Linked DNA regions of Caenorhabditis elegans. The main gene of each other region encodes a partner of the protein of the gene in region 3 in a complex. Each region holds a gene or a part of one and is shown on either strand. Other genes may lie near its edges. The genes, in order: eif-3.B, eif-3.I and eif-3.H.

Evidence for each region.
Region 1: eif-3.H (region 3) and eif-3.B share a complex: the UniProt entries of both Caenorhabditis elegans proteins name them as parts of the eukaryotic translation initiation factor 3 (eIF-3) complex.
Region 2: eif-3.H (region 3) and eif-3.I share a complex: the UniProt entries of both Caenorhabditis elegans proteins name them as parts of the eukaryotic translation initiation factor 3 (eIF-3) complex.

Annotation. Positions count from the first base shown.
Region 1 is NC_003280.10:14,793,469-14,799,419, forward strand, and holds eif-3.B (Eukaryotic translation initiation factor 3 subunit B), read left to right. Parts: upstream 1-1,935; 5' UTR 1,936-1,960; coding exon 1,961-2,042; intron 2,043-2,111; coding exon 2,112-2,305; intron 2,306-2,350; coding exon 2,351-2,683; intron 2,684-2,736; coding exon 2,737-3,444; intron 3,445-3,514; coding exon 3,515-4,375; 3' UTR 4,376-4,767; downstream 4,768-5,951. Other genes in the region: tbc-20 (Rab-GAP TBC domain-containing protein), read left to right, coding at 5,018-5,119, 5,169-5,274, 5,327-5,508, 5,563-5,755, 5,811-5,951. UniProt on the Caenorhabditis elegans protein: RNA-binding component of the eukaryotic translation initiation factor 3 (eIF-3) complex, which is involved in protein synthesis of a specialized repertoire of mRNAs and, together with other initiation factors, stimulates binding of mRNA and methionyl-tRNAi to the 40S ribosome.
Region 2 is NC_003279.8:2,483,518-2,490,628, reverse strand, and holds eif-3.I (Eukaryotic translation initiation factor 3 subunit I), read right to left. Parts: upstream 4,769-7,111; 5' UTR 4,761-4,768; coding exon 4,625-4,760; intron 3,822-4,624; coding exon 3,388-3,821; intron 2,418-3,387; coding exon 2,063-2,417; intron 1,189-2,062; coding exon 1,130-1,188; 3' UTR 842-1,129; downstream 1-841. Other genes in the region: ddx-10 (ATP-dependent RNA helicase), read right to left, coding at 1-392, 439-645; Y74C10AR.2 (Conserved secreted protein), read right to left, coding at 6,977-7,111; abtm-1 (Iron-sulfur clusters transporter ABCB7, mitochondrial), read left to right, coding at 5,247-5,306, 5,354-5,431. UniProt on the Caenorhabditis elegans protein: Component of the eukaryotic translation initiation factor 3 (eIF-3) complex, which is involved in protein synthesis of a specialized repertoire of mRNAs and, together with other initiation factors, stimulates binding of mRNA and methionyl-tRNAi to the 40S ribosome.
Region 3 is NC_003279.8:4,442,556-4,447,671, forward strand, and holds eif-3.H (Eukaryotic translation initiation factor 3 subunit H), read left to right. Parts: upstream 1-2,163; 5' UTR 2,164-2,174; coding exon 2,175-2,291; intron 2,292-2,336; coding exon 2,337-2,459; intron 2,460-2,505; coding exon 2,506-2,701; intron 2,702-2,748; coding exon 2,749-2,848; intron 2,849-2,897; coding exon 2,898-3,192; intron 3,193-3,434; coding exon 3,435-3,701; 3' UTR 3,702-4,058; downstream 4,059-5,116. Other genes in the region: C41D11.3 (Cysteine/serine-rich nuclear protein N-terminal domain-containing protein), read right to left, coding at 50-296, 989-1,462, 1,512-1,601, 1,731-1,787; cps-6 (Endonuclease G, mitochondrial), read right to left, coding at 4,107-4,458, 4,714-4,868, 4,925-5,047. UniProt on the Caenorhabditis elegans protein: Component of the eukaryotic translation initiation factor 3 (eIF-3) complex, which is involved in protein synthesis of a specialized repertoire of mRNAs and, together with other initiation factors, stimulates binding of mRNA and methionyl-tRNAi to the 40S ribosome.

The DNA.
Region 1 (5,951 bases), on a different chromosome or scaffold from region 3:
GGTGATGATCGTATTGAACTACACAACTTTATTGTAGTAAACTACACTACCGGTTATTATATCCAGACATAGTCTCCCGATGAAATACTCTCACTTGTTCAAGTGTGAAACCCGAACCTTGCTCTTGTACAGTTGATAAAACTAATGTAACTCAAAATATGAAACGGCCCAAGACTATGAAAGATATTTTAAGTTTCCAAGTTCTTTCTTAAATTCCAAAACTTCTTTGATTCAACAACTTTCTACTAAAACGCTCATAGCAAATCATCTGCAAGGACGAATCCATTGAGAATAATGTATACTAATCATCATGTTATAGTAAAAATTGCGTGATTTGTACAGTAAAAGGTCAGCAGCATTGTTGTGAGGACTACCCCCTTGGATTGTTGCTTGCTCTTTGATTGTTGAGCGGGCATCGACTGGAGCTCGGTATCGATTGTGCTAGCCAAATAAAAATCGATTAGAGGTGTGGCATTTGAAGAACATCAAATTTCTATAGATACGAAAGTGTCTATATGTATCAAGTAGCAGACTAAAAAAATTCCAAAAAAAATCGCCTACCCCACCTCTATTTTCGATTTTAAATAACCAGTCATTCGATTGAGCGCGCAATTGAGTGCCGCTAGGTCATCAAACAGGGCCGCTCATCGCAAAAACATAGCTTGACAAAATGCTGCTGTGTTACCGTACTAATCATGGAGAACCAAGAATCATCAATCATGAAAAAGCAAGACGATCCGCAGAAGAATAAAAAAGAACTGCTAAAAATCATTTGTGGTTTTGCCTTTAACTTTTCGTTTTATACAAGCTATCCCTTCCGTCGAAGCTGGCAGATTTTGTACCGGCAATACTCTCACTTTTTCCAATGTAAAGCCCAAACCTTTCTGTTGCACAGTCGACAAAACTCATCTAACTCAGAATATGAAACGACCTAACCCTGTCAGAGATATTTTAAGTTTTCAAGTTCTTTCTTAAAATCCAAAACTTCTTTGATTCAACAACTTTTTACTGAAACACTCATAGTCCATACTCTGCAAGGACGAATCCAAAGAGAATAATGTAAACTAATCATCATGTTACAGTAAAACTAACAAAAACACAACTCCGTATCCAGACATAGTCTTCCGATGCAATACACTCACTTTTTCCAATGTAAAGCCCAAACCTTTCTGTTGCACAGTCGACAAAACTCATCTAACCCAGAATATGAAACGACCTAAGACTATCAGAATTATTTTAAGTTTTCAAGTTCTTTCTTAAAATCCAAAACTTCTTTGATTCAACAACTTTTTACTGAAACACTCATAGCAAATCATCTGCAAGGACGAATCCATTGAGAATAATGTATACTAATCATCATGTTATAGTAAAAATTGCGTGATTTGTACAGTAAACGGTCAGCAGCATTGTTGTGAGGACTACCCCCTTGGATTGTTGCTTGCTCTTTGATTGTTGAGCGGGCATCGACTGGAGCTCGGTATCGATTGTGCTATTTACTTAAACAACTGATCGATAAATATATTTAAAATGTACTCGCTGCCGCGTTCTCCGGAAAAAAGGGCAAATGTCCGCATTTCTTCGTAAAGTCTGGTGTTTGCGTACACCCATTTTTCTTTCATTAAATATTTATAAATGCATTGATTCGCGTTTGAGTTTCAAAATTATCTCTATTTGAAATTCCGCGCAAATCTCATGGACGCGGCCTAGGATTCTCTTCGGTCGAGCGCTTGCAACGACGCTCCGTTCTCCCGCATGGGTGTTGTTTAGAGTTTGTTCATATTCCAAATATCGGTCCTATTTTTCAGATTTTCCAGCGTTTTCCAACATTTTTCCACAATTTTCGGAGAAAATTCTGTAAAAATTCAACTTATCTCGTTTTTCCTTCCATTTTCCTTTAAAATATCTCACAATTTACTCAATAAACCGTGTCTAAAGTTTCAGACTAGTTGGGTTACACAGAATGGTCGAAATTGACTTTAATAAAGAGAACGAAGAAGATTTTTCGGATCCGCCAGGATTTGTTGACGACGTCACCGATGATGGTTGGTTTTTTATTCAATTTTTTGAAATCAATTCCAAAAAATAGCCAACAATCAATGTTTTTATTTCAGTTCTCGTTCCTGACGTTCTCCACAAGAAACCAACTATCGATGAATTTGAAGACAATTGCGTCTTCATCGCGGGAATCCCAGTTGTTGGAGCTGACCGTCTTGGAAAACTCCAAAGTGTACTGAAGAAGGTTCTGGAGAGGTTGGATCCTGCAGTGAAGCTCTACATTCCGCCAAGTCCAGAAGGAGGTTGCTTGGTGAGATTCACGCAAACGATATCGATTTTAATATATTTTTTCCAGGGAGTTCTGCTCACCGAGTGGGCCGATCAACGATCCGCTCAGTTCGCCGTGAAAAGTTTGAATGGATATGCTTTCGATAAGAATCACACATTCACCGCCCGTTCTTTCAAGGATATGAAGCAACTCGAAGCTCCTTCCGATCACTGGACAACTCCAGAGAAGCAGGCTTATAATGACGTTGGAGATCTCTGGTGGTGGCTTCAAAACGAGCGTTGCCGTGATCAGTTCGCAATTTCCCACGATAAACTTGGAGTTCCAACTGTCGGAGTGTTCACCAATATGAAGGGAAATGATCCAGAGCTTGCAGGAGATGCCGATAAGGCTGAAAGAGCTGTAAGTTTTGAGAATTATTTGTTTTTAAAAAATGAAATAATTTTTTTTTCCAGAACTGGACCGAAACCGTCTTCACTTGGTCACCACACGGCTCCTACCTTTCCACGATCCATAAGCAAGGAATCATACTTTGGGGAGGCAAAGACTACGCTCGTGCCCACCGTTTCGCTCATACCAACGTTCAATACATTGATTTCTCGCCGTGTGAGACCTACCTTGTTACCTACGCCGCTCCGGAAGAGTCGAACAGCTGGGGAGACTGTGAGAAGGATAGTTTGAGAATTTGGGACGTCCGAACCGGAGAATTGAAGAAGGCCTTTTCCACTTTCGAGCTCACCGGAAGAACTCAGCTCCCAACCTGGCCATTCTTCAGATGGTCATTCGATGAGAAGTACTTCGCGTGCCTCAAGGCTCCAGAAAAGGATAAGCTTGAGCGTGAGCAGAAGATCAACGGAATTTCGATCTTCGAATCCGAGAAGTTCGAGCTCTATGAAGGCCGTCCCGTGAATATCGAGAATATCAAGCAATTCGAGTGGTCGCCAACATCCACAGTCCTCGCCTACTATTCAGAGTGCACTGACGCCGTTCCAGCCGAGTTTGGACTCTTGCAAGTTCCATCAATGCAGAGACTTCGTTCGGCTCGCGTTCACAATGTCGCCGACGCTCAGATGTTCTGGCAGAAGAGCGGAAAGCGATTGGCCTTCTACACGATGAGATTCAAGAAGAAGGAGTACAGAGAGACCGGAGAAGTCAAATATGTGGTAAGTTTTGAGTTTTTTAAAGGATTTTTTGAGGCCTATGACAATAATAATAATAATGATATAATTTCAGGGAGGATGCCAATACCACGTGGACATCTTCGAGATTGACAAGAAGGACGTTTCCCTTATGAATCTCCCACTTTCGGAGCCATTCATCCATTTCGATTGGGATCCAGAAGGCGATAAGTTCTGTGTGCTCGTGGGAAACACCGCTAAGGCCACTCCACAAGTCTACAAGATCGAGGCTAACAGCCACGCACCGAAGCTTGTGAGCAAGTTGGACGCTGGAGTTCACTTCAATGAGGTTCAATTCGCGCCGAAAGGAGGATGGCTTGCAGTTCTCGCCAAGGTGTCAGCTGGAGGAAACGTCTATTTCATTGATACTTCTTTGTCGGAGGCCAAGAGAACTAATGTTATAGAACATCCACTCTTCAATAAGGGATATTGGGATCCAACTGGAAGATACTTTGTGACATGCTCAACGTTGGGAGGAAGAGCCGGAGCCGATTTGGGTTACCGAATCTTCACATTCCAGGGAAGAGAACTGTGCAGAAAGAATCTCGACCGGCTCGCCCAATTCAAGTGGAGACCACGGCCGCCGGTGAAGTTGAGCGAACAGAAGCAGCGTGAGATCAAGAAGAACTTGAAGAAGACCGCCGCCAAGTTCATCAAGCAGGATGACGACGAAAAGTGCAGAGCCAGTCAGGAGGTTGTTGAGAAGCGACGCAAGATCATGGCTGCCTTCGATATTATTCGAAGCCGGAATCGCGAGCAACTCGACGCCACCCGTGACGAGAGAATCTCTCTTCGAAACGGCGTGGACACAGAAGCCCAACTCGACGAGGACGAATTTGTGGATGAGGAGATTACCATTGCGCTGAGCACAAGCAAAACACAAGCCCCTCTGACGGAGGAGGAGATGAGAGACTAATTAGTTATTTGATTTCCCGGTTTTTCCCCTTTTTTATGCGCTGCTTTTTCTTCCTGATTTCTCGAAGACTTGGAGCGGCGTCCCCTCTTTTTGGTGGTTCCACCATGTACTCGTTTTCGTTTTCCTCTTCATTTTCCCAGTCATGTCGTCATTTTCTGAACAACGCCTTTTTCTATGGCAAATTTAACTTTATGATGCCTGAATGGAGAAGGTTTTTTCAAGCTTCTTTTGGGCGGCCCTAATATTATTTAATTGTTTCTCTCTATCCACTTTAATATCTCTTGTTGCTCCCGTCTCTCCGTGTTTTCTGGTGGTTTTTGCCGATAAAATGTTGATGAATTAGTTGATGTTTCAGATTTTTTCCAAATAAACAGAAGTGAAAATTCATAAATTATATTTTTCAGCGCTATAAAATTGTGATTCTGAAAAAAAAATTCCACGTTTATTAAAAATTCCACAAATGGTGCAATGTGACGTGACGGTGTATGCACACTTTGCATTAAATTTGACGACAAATGTCTCATCGGGTTTTCTGTCAATTTTTAATCCACTTTCTCTATTTTACTCTGTTCTTTTTATACTTTTTTAAAATAAAATTTCTATAAAAAACTTTAAACTTCAATTTTAGCAATTAACCCGTTCATGCACTCATCGTTTTCGGAGCCAAATTCGCCGTTGAAAGAGGTGCTCGTAGATAAGTGGCAGACAGCCTCATGCAGCGATTTGGGCGAAGAATATGTAAAAGTAGGGGTTTTTAATGAGAAAATTTAACGAAAAAAAATCAATTTTTCAGCCGGGACCCCTGGCGAGAGCAAAATTCAACGCGTTGCGAAATAAACGCGAAGCAATTGATCGATTTTTGAAAAAGCACCGAAAAGAGGATCTCAGCTTATATATTGGTAATTTTTATTATAGAATTTGAATTTAAATTTATCAAAAAACGATTTTCAGACGAACTCCGCGATTTTGCGATTTCACCCGGCGGGCTTGTGGACGATGAGTTCCGCGCCGTCATTTGGCCAGTTTTATCCGCGAATTTAGTGCAAAACGATGATTTAGACGATGTTTCTTCGTCCTACGACTCGGATTTCGAATCTGCGCAGTCGGATTTCGACGAGGAGCCTGCTTATGAGGTTTTTACACTGAATATAAATTTTTTAAATATGAAATATAAGCTTGTGTTCCAGGAAAGCGAGGAGCTGACACTAGAAGATTTAAAAGGCCACAAAGAATGGAATCAAGTAGAATTGGACGTTCATCGGACGCTTTCCAGGTTCCCACCGAACATATCAGATACCCATCGAGACGTGCTTCAAACCGAACTCATTCCATTAATTGTACGGGTGCTCAGTATTAATCCACGGTTTAATTATTATCAGGGTGAGTGAAATGATGTGAAAATAAATATAACATAATTTAAATTCAAATTTTCCAGGTTTCCACGACATTTGCCTCACAGTACTTCTAGTTTGCGGCGAGGTAGATGCTCTCCCAGTCTGCTCAAATCTCGCGAAAAATGGCTCATTCAACAACTATTTGCTAAAAACTCTCGAAAAATCCGTAGTCCGAGAGCTGG
Region 2 (7,111 bases), 2.0 Mb from region 3:
ATATTAATCCCGCTGATGCGATTTCTCTCGAATGCCACGTCACTTCCGCCGATAACCAAGCCACACGAGAATCCGTGATGGGCTCCGACGGCGTTAATTGTGCTAAATGTCTGAAGAGCCAGCTCTCGTGTCGGTGAAATGATTAGCGCTCCGAGACCATAGTCTGGAGACCATTTTGCTCGCCAAAGAGCCTCCAGCACGGGGATCACCAGTGCCAGAGTCTTTCCGCTGCCGGTTTTTGCGGCTCCGACGACATCTGAGCCGGTCAGAGAGTAGGCAATCGTGTCCCGTTGGATTTCTGTGGGTTTTGTGTAGTCATTATCCTTGAGACCCTCCAGTGTCCTCCAGGAGAGCGGGAAATCCTCGAAGCGGAGAAATGTGCGGGAGCTTTTCTGGAAAAATCGATTTTTTAATAAAAAAACTATTTTTTAGAGCTACCTTGAGCATTTCCTGATATTTCTGCTCAACTTCGTCGAGCATTGTCTCCTCCTGTCCCTTTAAATCCTGTTTTCTCTTTTTCAGAAGCCGCTTCTCCTTCAACGCTTTTCTGACACTTGGATCCTGCTCGCCATCGAAATTTCGTTTTCTTTTATTATTTCCAGCCCATTTCTGTGCTCCGCCGCCTTTTCCGTTTGTGTGAGGCATTGAAAACGCTGAAAATTGGGTAAAAATATTTAAAAATTGCAGGAAAAATCGTGCGCGGCAGTTGCGAAAAAAGCGTGCCAGGGTTGCATTCTGACTCCGCCCACAATTTTTCTTAATTTTTAATTGAGAAAAAATTAATTTTTTTTAAAAATATAATAATTGGAGATTAAAACCAAGAAATTCGAGGGAATAGATCAATTTTAACTCAAAATAATATTTATTTATGAAAAAAAAAACAATTAAAAGCCACCGAAAATTGATCTTAAATATGGAAAAAATGGAAAAAACAGAAAATCACCACCGCGTAATTTTAGAATTTGATAAATTTTAAAGGTTTTCCGAACTGCATAGGCTTAAATTCGTCATTTAAACTCTAAAATTAGGCGGTTTTCAACAGGAACGAGTAGGAAAAAGGGGGAAACGGTCTTTTTTTGGCAAATACGATCGCCCGGGAAACAGGAAGAAAACGAAAACGTAGAACAAATTAAAAATCGTAGGTGAAGCCGAGGTAGTCCTCGTCGAACTCTTGAATTCTGATGTAACCTGGAAAAAAATCAATAATTTTTGAATTTTTATATGAAAAATCCTCAAATCGCACTGCAACTTTTTTTTGAACGAGGGACGAGGAAATGCGGTTTCTAGGCCATGGCCGAGGATCCGACAAGATTTATCGGCAATTTATCTTGCAATGTTTTCCGCGAGTTTTCTTTTATTTTTCACCGATTTTTCCCCCGTTTTTTTCTTATTAAAACTGATAAATAAATTTTTTTAAAACCAGATGCTAAAATAATTTCCAAGTGAAAAAAATTGTGAATTCAGCCGGCAAGTAGCGGTGAAAGTGGTCAATGTAATATGATGGATTACGGGAATACTAAACACTAAACTTTTTTCGAAACATGATACATATGCTGCTTAGAGGCTGAAACTACCTGATTTTAATAACGAGACCGCTGAAAAAGTTTTTTGAGATTTTCAAAATTCAACATTTTGTGGAAAAATCTCGACTTTTTCGCCAAAAAGGTTGAATTTTGAAAATCTCAAAACTTTTTCAGCGGTCTCGTTATTAAAATCAGGTAGTTTCAGCATCTAAGCAGCATTTATAGCATGTTTTGGAAGAAAGTTTAGGTTTAGTATTCCCGTAATCCATCATATTACATTGACCACTTCCACCGCTACTTGCCGGCTGAATTCACAATTTTTTCACTTGAAAATTATTTTAGCATCTGCAAAAACAATATTTCTTCATCAGTTTTAATAAGAAAAAACGGGGGAAACATCGGTGAAAAATAAAAGAAAAAACGCGGAAAACAAAGCAAGATAAATTGCTGATAAATCTTGTCGGATCCTCGGTCATGGCCTAGAAACCGCATTTCCTCGTCCCTCGTTCAAAAAAAAAGTTGCAGTGGAATCCCCATACCGTCTTCTCCTCCAGTCGCGATAATTGTGCCCGATGGATGCCAGGCCATCGTGTTAATCGGTCCGAAATGTCCCTTGAATCTGGCGAATTCCTCTTCGAACACCATATGATAGATCTTGGCTTCAAAGTGTCCAGCAGAGACAGACGTCTGTGTGACCTGCATCGCGTCTTCTCCTCCTCCAAGGCAAATGTGATCGCGATTCGGTGAGATGCATGCCGAGTTGACGGGACGCTCGGATTTGTATTGTTTCAGCTTTTTCAGATCGTTCACGTCGAGCAGGGCGGCCGTCTTGTCGCGTGAAGCGGAGATCAGGAAATCGCCGCGTGGTGATAGTTGGAGATCTTGGACGCTGTACTGAAATTTTGGGAAATTTTTTTTTTGAAATTATTTTAGAAATCACGGAGGCACCACGGATTAAAGATCTCGTCGAATTCCGGATCTGGCACCGTGCCAACTGCAGTTTTCGCAGTTTTCTCGAAGAAAAATGTGGTTTTTTTTTAAATTTTCTTCAGGAAAAACGCTAAACAACACGCGATGCGTAACATCGGAGCATCGTTGTCAGGATTTTTTCCAGAAAAATTGCGTTAATTTTTTTTGAGTTGGTACGGTGCCAGATCCGGAATTCCACAAGATCTTGAATTTCGTGGAGCCTCGGTCTTATAATCATTGGAGCGCGCTTGCTGACACCTCACGAACTCCCGAATTCGCGGAATTTTGTTTCCACGGGAAATAAGGTTTTTTTGCTAATTTTGGTTTCTATGGAAATTAATATAAATTTTTGATGGATATTGTTGTTGGGAAGCTTTATACGACTCGAAAACGCGTAAAATTTAAGGTTTTACATCAAAAATCGGGAGTTTTTTGATTTCAGAATTTTAAAATATACATTTTTTGTAGAGAAAAATACAGTTTTAATTGATTTAATTGGTTTTTTCATTGAAAAAAATTAGAATAATCAAAATAATCAATCACTGCCGGATTTTGCTGCTTTTTCTCTTCAAAATGAGATTTTCACGGCTTTCAAATCGAAAAAACTGCCGATTTTGTTCCATTTTTCGAGAAAACTAAATTATTTCTTCGAATTTTTGGTTTTAATCTTGTGTGCGGAGTCAGGATGCAACCCTGGCACGCCTTCTTCGCAACTGTGCCGCGCACGGTTTTTTAATGCGAAATTTCGCCAATTTTCCAAATTGTACACACTTTCGGCTCTAATAATGTTTCCCCACAACAATAAAAACCAAAAATTAGCAATAAAATTTCCGCCAATTCAGGAGATCGTAAAGTGTCAGCAAGCGCTCCAGAGAACAACGAAAAAATGACGAACACGATGAACACTCTCGTTAGTGTGAATTGGTGTATCCGGATTTCTCAAATCGTACTGCTGAAGGAGTCCAGACTCGAATCCGATCGTCACGAGGTCATCCATCTGAGTGAAAAGTGCGGTCGTGGCGTTCACATCGAATTGTGAGTAGAAGAATGACTCTCCACCCTCAACCATTTGACTTGAATCACGAAGATCTCGGACTTGGAACGTCGAGAGATTCTTTGTCATCTTTTGTGTGGTGAAGCACACCAAATTTCCTGAATACGAGAATCCGCACGACTTCATCGGAGTCTGATGGTTGATTGTGTAGAGGCAGTTGCCGAGCTCGGCATCCCAAATCTTCACGGTGAGGTCTCCGGACGCGGTGACACACTTGGTAGTGTCCCATGAGACGTCGATATCCCACACGGCTCCGTTATGCCCGTCGTAGCTACCTGAAAAGAAAAATAATAAATAAATATATTTAAAAGGTGGAGTAGCGTCAGTGGGAAAATTGCTTTAAAACATGCATATGGTACCACAGTGACCGAATATCATGATTAAAAATTTCAAAAAAATTTTCTAAATTTTATATGATTTTTTGAAAAATTGAAAAAAATCTCAGTTTTTGCCTAATTCCAATTTTAATTACCGCCAATTGGATTTGTTCGATGGAGCGCGCTTGCACGTTTTAAAATTTATTTATTTTATTTTTTGTTATTTTCCAACGATTTTTAATGTTTTCGATGTATTTTTGCTTGAATTTTAGAGAAAAAGTCAAAATAATTGCAAATTTTCGATTAAAAAGCACGCTTAGAGGCGTAAAAAATGAAAAGTAACGCTTTTAAACGATTTCGAACCTGAATTAATAAATTTCACTGATTTACGCCTGTAAGCGTGCTTTTTAATTGAAAATTTGCAATTCTTTTGACTTTTTCTCTAAAATTCAAGCAAAAATACACCGAAAACATTAAAAATCGGTGGAAAATAACAATAAATAAAATAAATAAATTTAAAAACGTGCAAGCGCGCTCCATCGAACAAATCCAATTGGCGGTAATTAAAATTGAAATTAGGCAAAAACTGAGATTTTTTCAATTTTCAAAAAATCATATAAAATTTAGAAAATTTTTTTGAAATTTTTAATCATGATATTCGGTCATTGTGGTACCATATGCATGTTTTAAAGCAATTTTCCCACTAGCGCTACTCCACCTTTAATTCTGCGAAAATTTTTCGCGAAAATATTCAAAAATACCGATTCTCTCTCCATTTTCAGTATACCAAACGCATGGCTTCTTGTCCTTAGCACAGGAGAACGTCAAATCTCCCTCACGATTGAAACGGACCCGAGTGAGAGCACGTTCGTGGCCTTTCAGCGAAAGTGGACGCATTTCTGAAAGAAATCCCCTATTTTTGAAGGTTTCTGCGAGAAATTGGTGGAATATTCGGCAGTTTTGATTATAAAATGAATTATTGGCTTAATTATTAATAAATTCCATTAAAAAAATGAAAATTAGAAGCCAGAAAACATGGGAAATATTCGAAAAATAAGCGAAAAAACAACAAGAAATAGGATTTGGCTCAACCTCCGCAATTTGGCGTGACAGTGTTTGCGGACTTGCGTACCGTACCCCCGCGCAGAATAATCGACATCAGCTGACGAAATTTCGATTTTCAGCAATTTTCAGCAATTTCGAGTGGTTTTCAGTAGTTTTCAACAATTAAAAAGTGAATTTTATCAAATTTTTAGCAATATATTAATTAAAAACTCAAATTTTAACATGTTCCACCACAAATAACTGCTAAATTTCGCAACTCTCAATTCTCATCGATTTTTTTGCGAAAGCTTCACCGAATCCAGTTTTCAGAGATCGATAATGTTACAATTACGACTAATAGCTGGCCTACGGAACGCGTCAAACACTATCAGATCGCAGGTATCGTTAAAAAACCCGAGAATTTCCGGTAAAATATTGATTTTCAGGCAGTTTACCGCAGTTTCTCGTCACTGACAAAATCACCAGCACTCATCAGAAATGCCACACAGATTCTTAGTAAAAATGTGGGGTTTTGCGATAATTTGTTGAAAAAAACGTTTTAAAATCCTTAAAAAACATTTTATAGAAATTTCCATGAATTTTTAGGTTAAAAATATGTATTTTCACATTTTTTAAAGCTAATTCCAGAAATTTTTGCCTCGAAAAAGTTAATTTTTAGCCAATTAGAGCGAAAAATAAGCTTGTGGTCTCGAAGCGAAAACTACAGTCTCTAAAGTTAGAATTAAATTTTGCTATGCGCCTTTAAAGCTTTTACGGTAGCTGAGATATCGATTTTTCTCTTTTATAAATTAATTTTTTTCTGAATTTTCTTCAAAAAATTCCATTTTAGGCCTAATATATATCGAAATTTTCACTTTTTCTGCTCAAAAAATATATAATTTCTAAAAAAAAAAGCAGTTTATTTTGAAAAAAAAAACAGAAATTTGTGAAAAAGTTGCTGGAAAGCACCACTGGAACGTGGGAATCTTTCCAGAACTGGAAAAATCTAGCATTTTTCTTAAGAAAAGTCCAGTTTTTCGGGGAAAATTGGATTTTTTCACCTTAAAATCATTTTAAAAAAATGCTTAAAAATCAACAAATGGAATCTGCGAAAATTGGATTTTACCTCGAAAAATATGATTTTCAGTAGAATTTTAATGGAAAAATTGAATTTTCCGTTGAACTTCGTTCAAAGTAGCAACTTTCCGTGCTTAGAATCGTATTTTTAAGCAAAAATACGATGAAATAGCACGTTTTCCAGGAATTGTGTTGTCGCAAGCTTCAAACAATTCTCAAAAATCACAAATTTGAGATGAAGCTCGGAAGCTCCAAAGGAACTTGGAAAGTTGCATTTTTCATCCGAAAAACCCAGTTTTTTGGTGTAAAATTAGGTTTTTACACCCTAAAATCATGAAAAAATGCTCAAAAATCAACTTTATTAGCTCAAAAAGCACCAAAAACGTGTCCCAAATTCGAAAAAAGACATTAAAAAATCAATTAATTCTTCTTCTGAGCTTCTGATCCGAACTCAAAACTGAGTTCTCCTTCGTTATTCTGCTTACATTTCACATTTTGTCCATTATCAAGTTGTCCACTGGCATTCAACTCTAACAGCTCATCGGAGCAAACGAAACCTGCGGTTTACCTCGAAAAATATGAATTTCAGTGGAATTTTAATGGAAAAATTGAATTTTCCGTTGAATTTTGGTCAAAATAGCGATTTTTCGAGCAAAAAATCGTATTTTTAAGCTAAAATACGATGAAATAGCACGTTTTTCAGAAATTGTGCAGTTTTGTTCAATCGGAAGCTTTAAATAATTCTCAAAAATCACAAATTTGAGATGAAGCTCAACTGCTTAAGCTAAGGCTTAGGCTTAGGCTTTTCTACTCCACGGGAACATGAGAATACCTCCACAAGTGGAACAATTTTGCGTTTTTTCCCAGTTTTTTTTGGTGAAAATTCGATTTTTCTACCTTAAAATCATGAAAAAATGCTTAAAAATCAACTTTATTAGCTCAAAAAGCTCAAAAACGTGTCCCAAATTCGAAAAAAGACATTAAAAAATCAATTAATTCTTCTTCTGAGCTTCTGATCCGAATTCAAAACTGAATTCTCCTTCGTTATTCTGCTTACATTTCACATTTTGTCTATTATCAAGTTGTCCGCTGGCATTCAACTCCAACAGCTCAAGCCCCGCCTTCTT
Region 3 (5,116 bases):
ATTTTTAAAACATATTTATGTTTATTTTTTTTCAGGCTTTCATAAAAACCTTTTTCAATTTCCTTTTCCTCTTCGAGCCGAATCGAAAACGACGAGATATATCGTTTTTTGAGGGGACTTGTCGAACGATTTTCCGAATCTTGACGAACTCGTTTTTTGATTGGCGAAGTTATTGGCTTTTTCGTAGGTGATTTTGGAACGAACACGTCATCATCGATGGTACGGGTCTCAGAAATGCCACGTGGACGTAAACGTTGTGGAGTTAAAATTGGTGGCATGTCGGATGAAAAGAGACACTGAAATAATATTTTTTGTTATTTTCAGAAACTAGTTTTATATGATTGGGCGGCAAACGATTTTTTCCGGCAAATCGGCAAATCGCCGGAATTGAAATTTCCGGCATTTCGGCAAACTGTGCTGTTGCACTTTTTATTGGAAACTTCAGAATTTCAAGTTAAAGACGCGAAATTGTACGCCTCCTATTACGGGAACACAAAATTCTGATGATGCGTATTTCACAACATATTTGACGCGCAAAATATCTCGTAGCGAAAACTACAGTAATTATCTAAATGACTACTGTAGGTCGATTTAAGGGCTCGATTCTCGAAATGAATTAAAATTATTTATTCATCGATAGATATTTCCAAAATCAAGCCCGTAAATCGACACAAGCGCTACAGGAGTAATTTGATGAATTACTGTAGTTTTCGCTACGAGATATTTTGCGGGTCAAATATGTTGTGTAATACGCGTTCTCAGTATTTTGTGTTCCCGTAATATAAAAAAATATGTTCCTACTTCTATTTTGAAAAGTAAGGAAATTCTATGAAAATATCTAGAAAAACGGGAAAACATTTCAGATTGCCGGAATTGAAATTTCCGGCGAATCGGCATTTGCCGAAAAATCAAATTTTCGGAAATTCGCCGAATTTTTCGAAAAAAAATTTGCCGCCCAGCTCTGATATGATTCAGTTGAATATATTACCGTTAATGAAGATGTTCTCTTCCTCTTTAACACAGGAGTTAAGCTATTTCCAATTTCCATTCGTATTGGAACATCAAGGGACTGGGCCTCTAATCGTGGCATTGACCCGGATCTTCGGTATCTTTTAACTGGAGAACCAGGTGTTTCCACATCTTCTTCTTGCCTTCGAATCCTTTCAGGCGTCTGTCTCAACAGCATTGATCCACTACTAGATCGACGCATTGGCGGTGTTACTTGATCTTCCAGGCTTGGAATACTCTCCGGAGCCAGTTTTCGGATCGGTGTCTGGTGGTCCTGTTCTATCCGCAATGGAACCATTGGCTTTTTCTCCATTTTTATGGGTAATGCACTAGTCTTTGTTCGAGTTAGACTAGGTACACCGGCTCTTTTGAGACTCGCTGCTACAGAAACCATCGATGTTGAATGGGATAGGAAGGATGAGGACGATGATGGTGGTGGGATTGTTCTCTGAGACTATTATGAATATTATTAAACAAAAATGCTGGAAACTTGAGGGTTTTACCTCCAAAGAAATTGAAAAAGTCGATTTCAATTGGCTCATTCCCGCCATTCGTTTTAATCCTCCACGTGGACTTGGTGGAACCAATGGTGTCTGAAACAAATTTACAATTATTTTTTAATATGCATTTGGTTATAATATTAAATCTTCAAATGGATTCCAATAAAGCTAGTTTATTTAAGAATTGTGTTTTATTGATTTTTTTTTCATAAATGCGCTTACCTTTATTATTTCATTATTTGTAGGTTTATTAGGGTCGTTGGATGCACTCGATTGCATCTGAAAATATACAATTTCTCTTAAAAAGTTTCAAAAAGCATTTTAAAAAGTAAATCCCAAAAACAAAAGAACGACAAAAATTTGAATTCAAATCAAAAGATCACGCGCGGGTACGGTGTGCAATTGTGTGCATGCACTACAATTGACGCGCAGTTGCACACAACAACGGAAGGAATTAATTTCGTGGAGTGTTTCCTATTTTCAAGATTTTATTGATTATTTTGAGGTTTTTCTCGCCAATTTTCTGAAATTTATATTTTTAATTTTCTTTCGAAAAATTCGTGATGCTTAGATTATTGATTTTTCCTCTTGTGAGATGCATGTTATTGTTTATTGTTCTTTAGAAAATTTGAAAAACTAAATGCTCATCTTTCAGGGTTATCAAAAATGTCGACAGCAGTGACAATTACCGCTCCGAGCGTCAAGCATATCCTTTTGGATTCGCTTGTGGTTATGAAAATTGTGAAGCACGTGGACAGTGAACTTCATGCAGGAATTAGTGAGGTATATTATTTTAATTTAATTTCAAGCTTAACATGTAATTTACAGGTATCTGGAGACGCTTGTGCCGGAGTTCTCACCGGTCTTGTTTTCCTTGAAGATTCTCGCTTGGAAATCACCAATTGCTTCCCAACAGTTCGCAACGAGCCAGTTATGGATGACGATGCTAATGTAAAATTAGCTCATGCTAGTGATTCCAATATATTTTCTATTATAGGCCGCTCAACAATACGAAGAGCAAAAGCAACACGAGATGCTTGACATGCTCCGCAAATTCCGTACAATGAATATCGATTACGAAATCGTTGGATTCTATCAGTCTCATCAATTCGGAGCCGGTTTCTCACACGATCTCGTAGAATCTATGTTCGATTACCAGGCTATGGGCCCAGAAAATGTTGTTCTTATTTATGGTTAGACAGATTAATGAGGATAAATAATTAATTCTAATTGCTTTCAGATCCAATCAAGACTCGCCAAGGACAGCTTTCTCTAAGAGCCTGGCGTCTTTCCACCGCTGCTCTTGATCTCGCTTCAAAGAATGACTGGAGACCAGAATTGTATGGTTTTTGAGTTTAAAAATATATTTGCAAAGACATATCTTTTCAGGGTGAAAGCCGCTGGTTTGACATACCAGAACATGTTCGAGGAGTTGCCAATCATCATCAAATCCTCATATCTCAACAATGTTCTCATGTCTGAGCTTTCACTCGCTAAATCATGCTCTTCTGACAAGTACTCCACGAGACACTTCGATTTGGGATCCAAGAAGTCGCTTGAAAAGTCGGTCCGAGCTATGATGGCTAATGTTGATGAGCTGAACAAGTCAATTCAGTCGTTGACGAAGTACACTATTGACAAGCAAAGACATGATAATATGGTGTTCAGTCTGACGCAGAAAAGAGTAAGAATTTCGAATTTTGAAATTAAAAATATCCTGATTGTATCGCTAAAATTTATATTCCGAAGTGTAACGGCTTTCAAACCTAAAGTCTTGTTTTTTGAAAACCATTTTCCAACATATCGAGGCTCCACTAACTATAAAACCGGATGTGAGGGGTACATTTTCGGTGGAATAAAGGTGCCATTCACGATTTTCGAAAAAAAAATCTCTATCATTAAAAATTTATATTTTTCCAATTTCAGCAACAGGAGAACGAATCACGTGTGGCCCGTGGTGATCCAACAATTCCAATGGATGACATCAAGAGAATCAAGGCTCCACAACTCCAAACAAGAAATGGACTTTTGGATGAGCTTCTCGCCAGTTTTGACACCAACGCTCTCGCTGACTTCTCGAAGACTGTGACCAGCGAAAATATCACGAAAATGTTCATCGCTGAAGCTGTTGCTGAGGAGAAAGTCGCCGGAACAAAAGACAGAACTTTGAGCTCTGTCTCATCGACTCGTTAAGATTCCCAAATATACTCGTGTTTTTGTTTCCTCCCTGTTCCCTTTAATTTACTTTTTCTTTTCTAAAATATTTTTCTCTCGGTGAAAGGAATTTCATATTACATAAAACTAGTGACATAAAATAATGTCTCACTTTCAATATAGGGATATTGTTTTTCATCCAAATTTTTTTGCCGTATGAAATTCCTTTCTGGTATCCTTTTCCACCTTCCCCTATTTCGGATGAATTTTTGTTGTTGACTAATAGTAAGTTAAGATTTTAAAATTTCTATTGGTATTGTTCTTTTTAATTGAGTTTTCAAGTTTTTTCAATCAGTAAATCAAAAAAGTTAACAAAAAATTTATTTGTGAAACAAAAACAAAACAACCTAAACCTAAAATTCACCGGAATCACAATCCAATCAATCACCAAAGTAATCCTCCCTTCTTTGCTCCGTTCTCTTTCACAATGCTCTTAGGGTCCAAACGAGCGAAAATCTCAAGACCCGCACTTCTCTCCACAGCATCCAATGGAACATGGAACTTGGAAATTTCTACAGTATCCTCGATGACTGCGTTTGGCAAAATATAGGATTCCAGCTCGAATTTGCCGGGTGTCACTTCGAAAAGAGCAACTTTGAAGAAATGAGTTGGCACTGCAACGTTATTATCACCGATAACTTGATACTTGATATACTTTTTTCCATCTCCTTCAAGTTTTGGAAGGTAGAGGGGACCGGTGATTATGTAGGAGTTGATCATCTTTTTTGCGACTCTTCTGGAAATTGTAGAAAATTATTTTTAGTATTGTAAAGAAAAATCTTGGTACCAGCTGGTTTCAGACTGGGCTGTAGATTTTTCGTTTTTTTTTCTCAAAAAAATTTTCCAAAAGTTTCAAATTGTATTAATTTTTCAAAAAACAAAATTCTTTAGAGTTACGTGTTTTTGCGAAAAACTTCGTCGACGAGAAAAAAAATTATTTCACATTTTTCGCGTTTTTTTCCCGGCAAAAAACTTTATTTATTTTACCAACCTGCAGTGCATTTCCAAATCATTCCACTTATCGCGATTGAATCCTCGTCCAACTTGTGGGCTCATATTGCTCAAATAAAAAGTTTGATCGACCGCCAACTGACTCTTCCGATGATTTCCAGCGGCGGCGAGATGTCCACGATCGAATCCACTGCACTGAAACATTGGATGGTTCAGAAATATTTTTTATGTAATAATTACGAAGAACTAACCTTATAATCCGTATTTTGAGAAAGGAATTTCTGCGGGAAAGTGATATCTGGCTTGAATTCACAAAGCTTCCGATCCACACCTTCTGCGTGTTTTAATCGTTCTGGTGTAAGATGTTCGCAGACCTGGAAATTCAATTTTTTATTAAAACCGGTCTCGACACGACAATTTTTTAATGTAGAAAGGTGTGCACC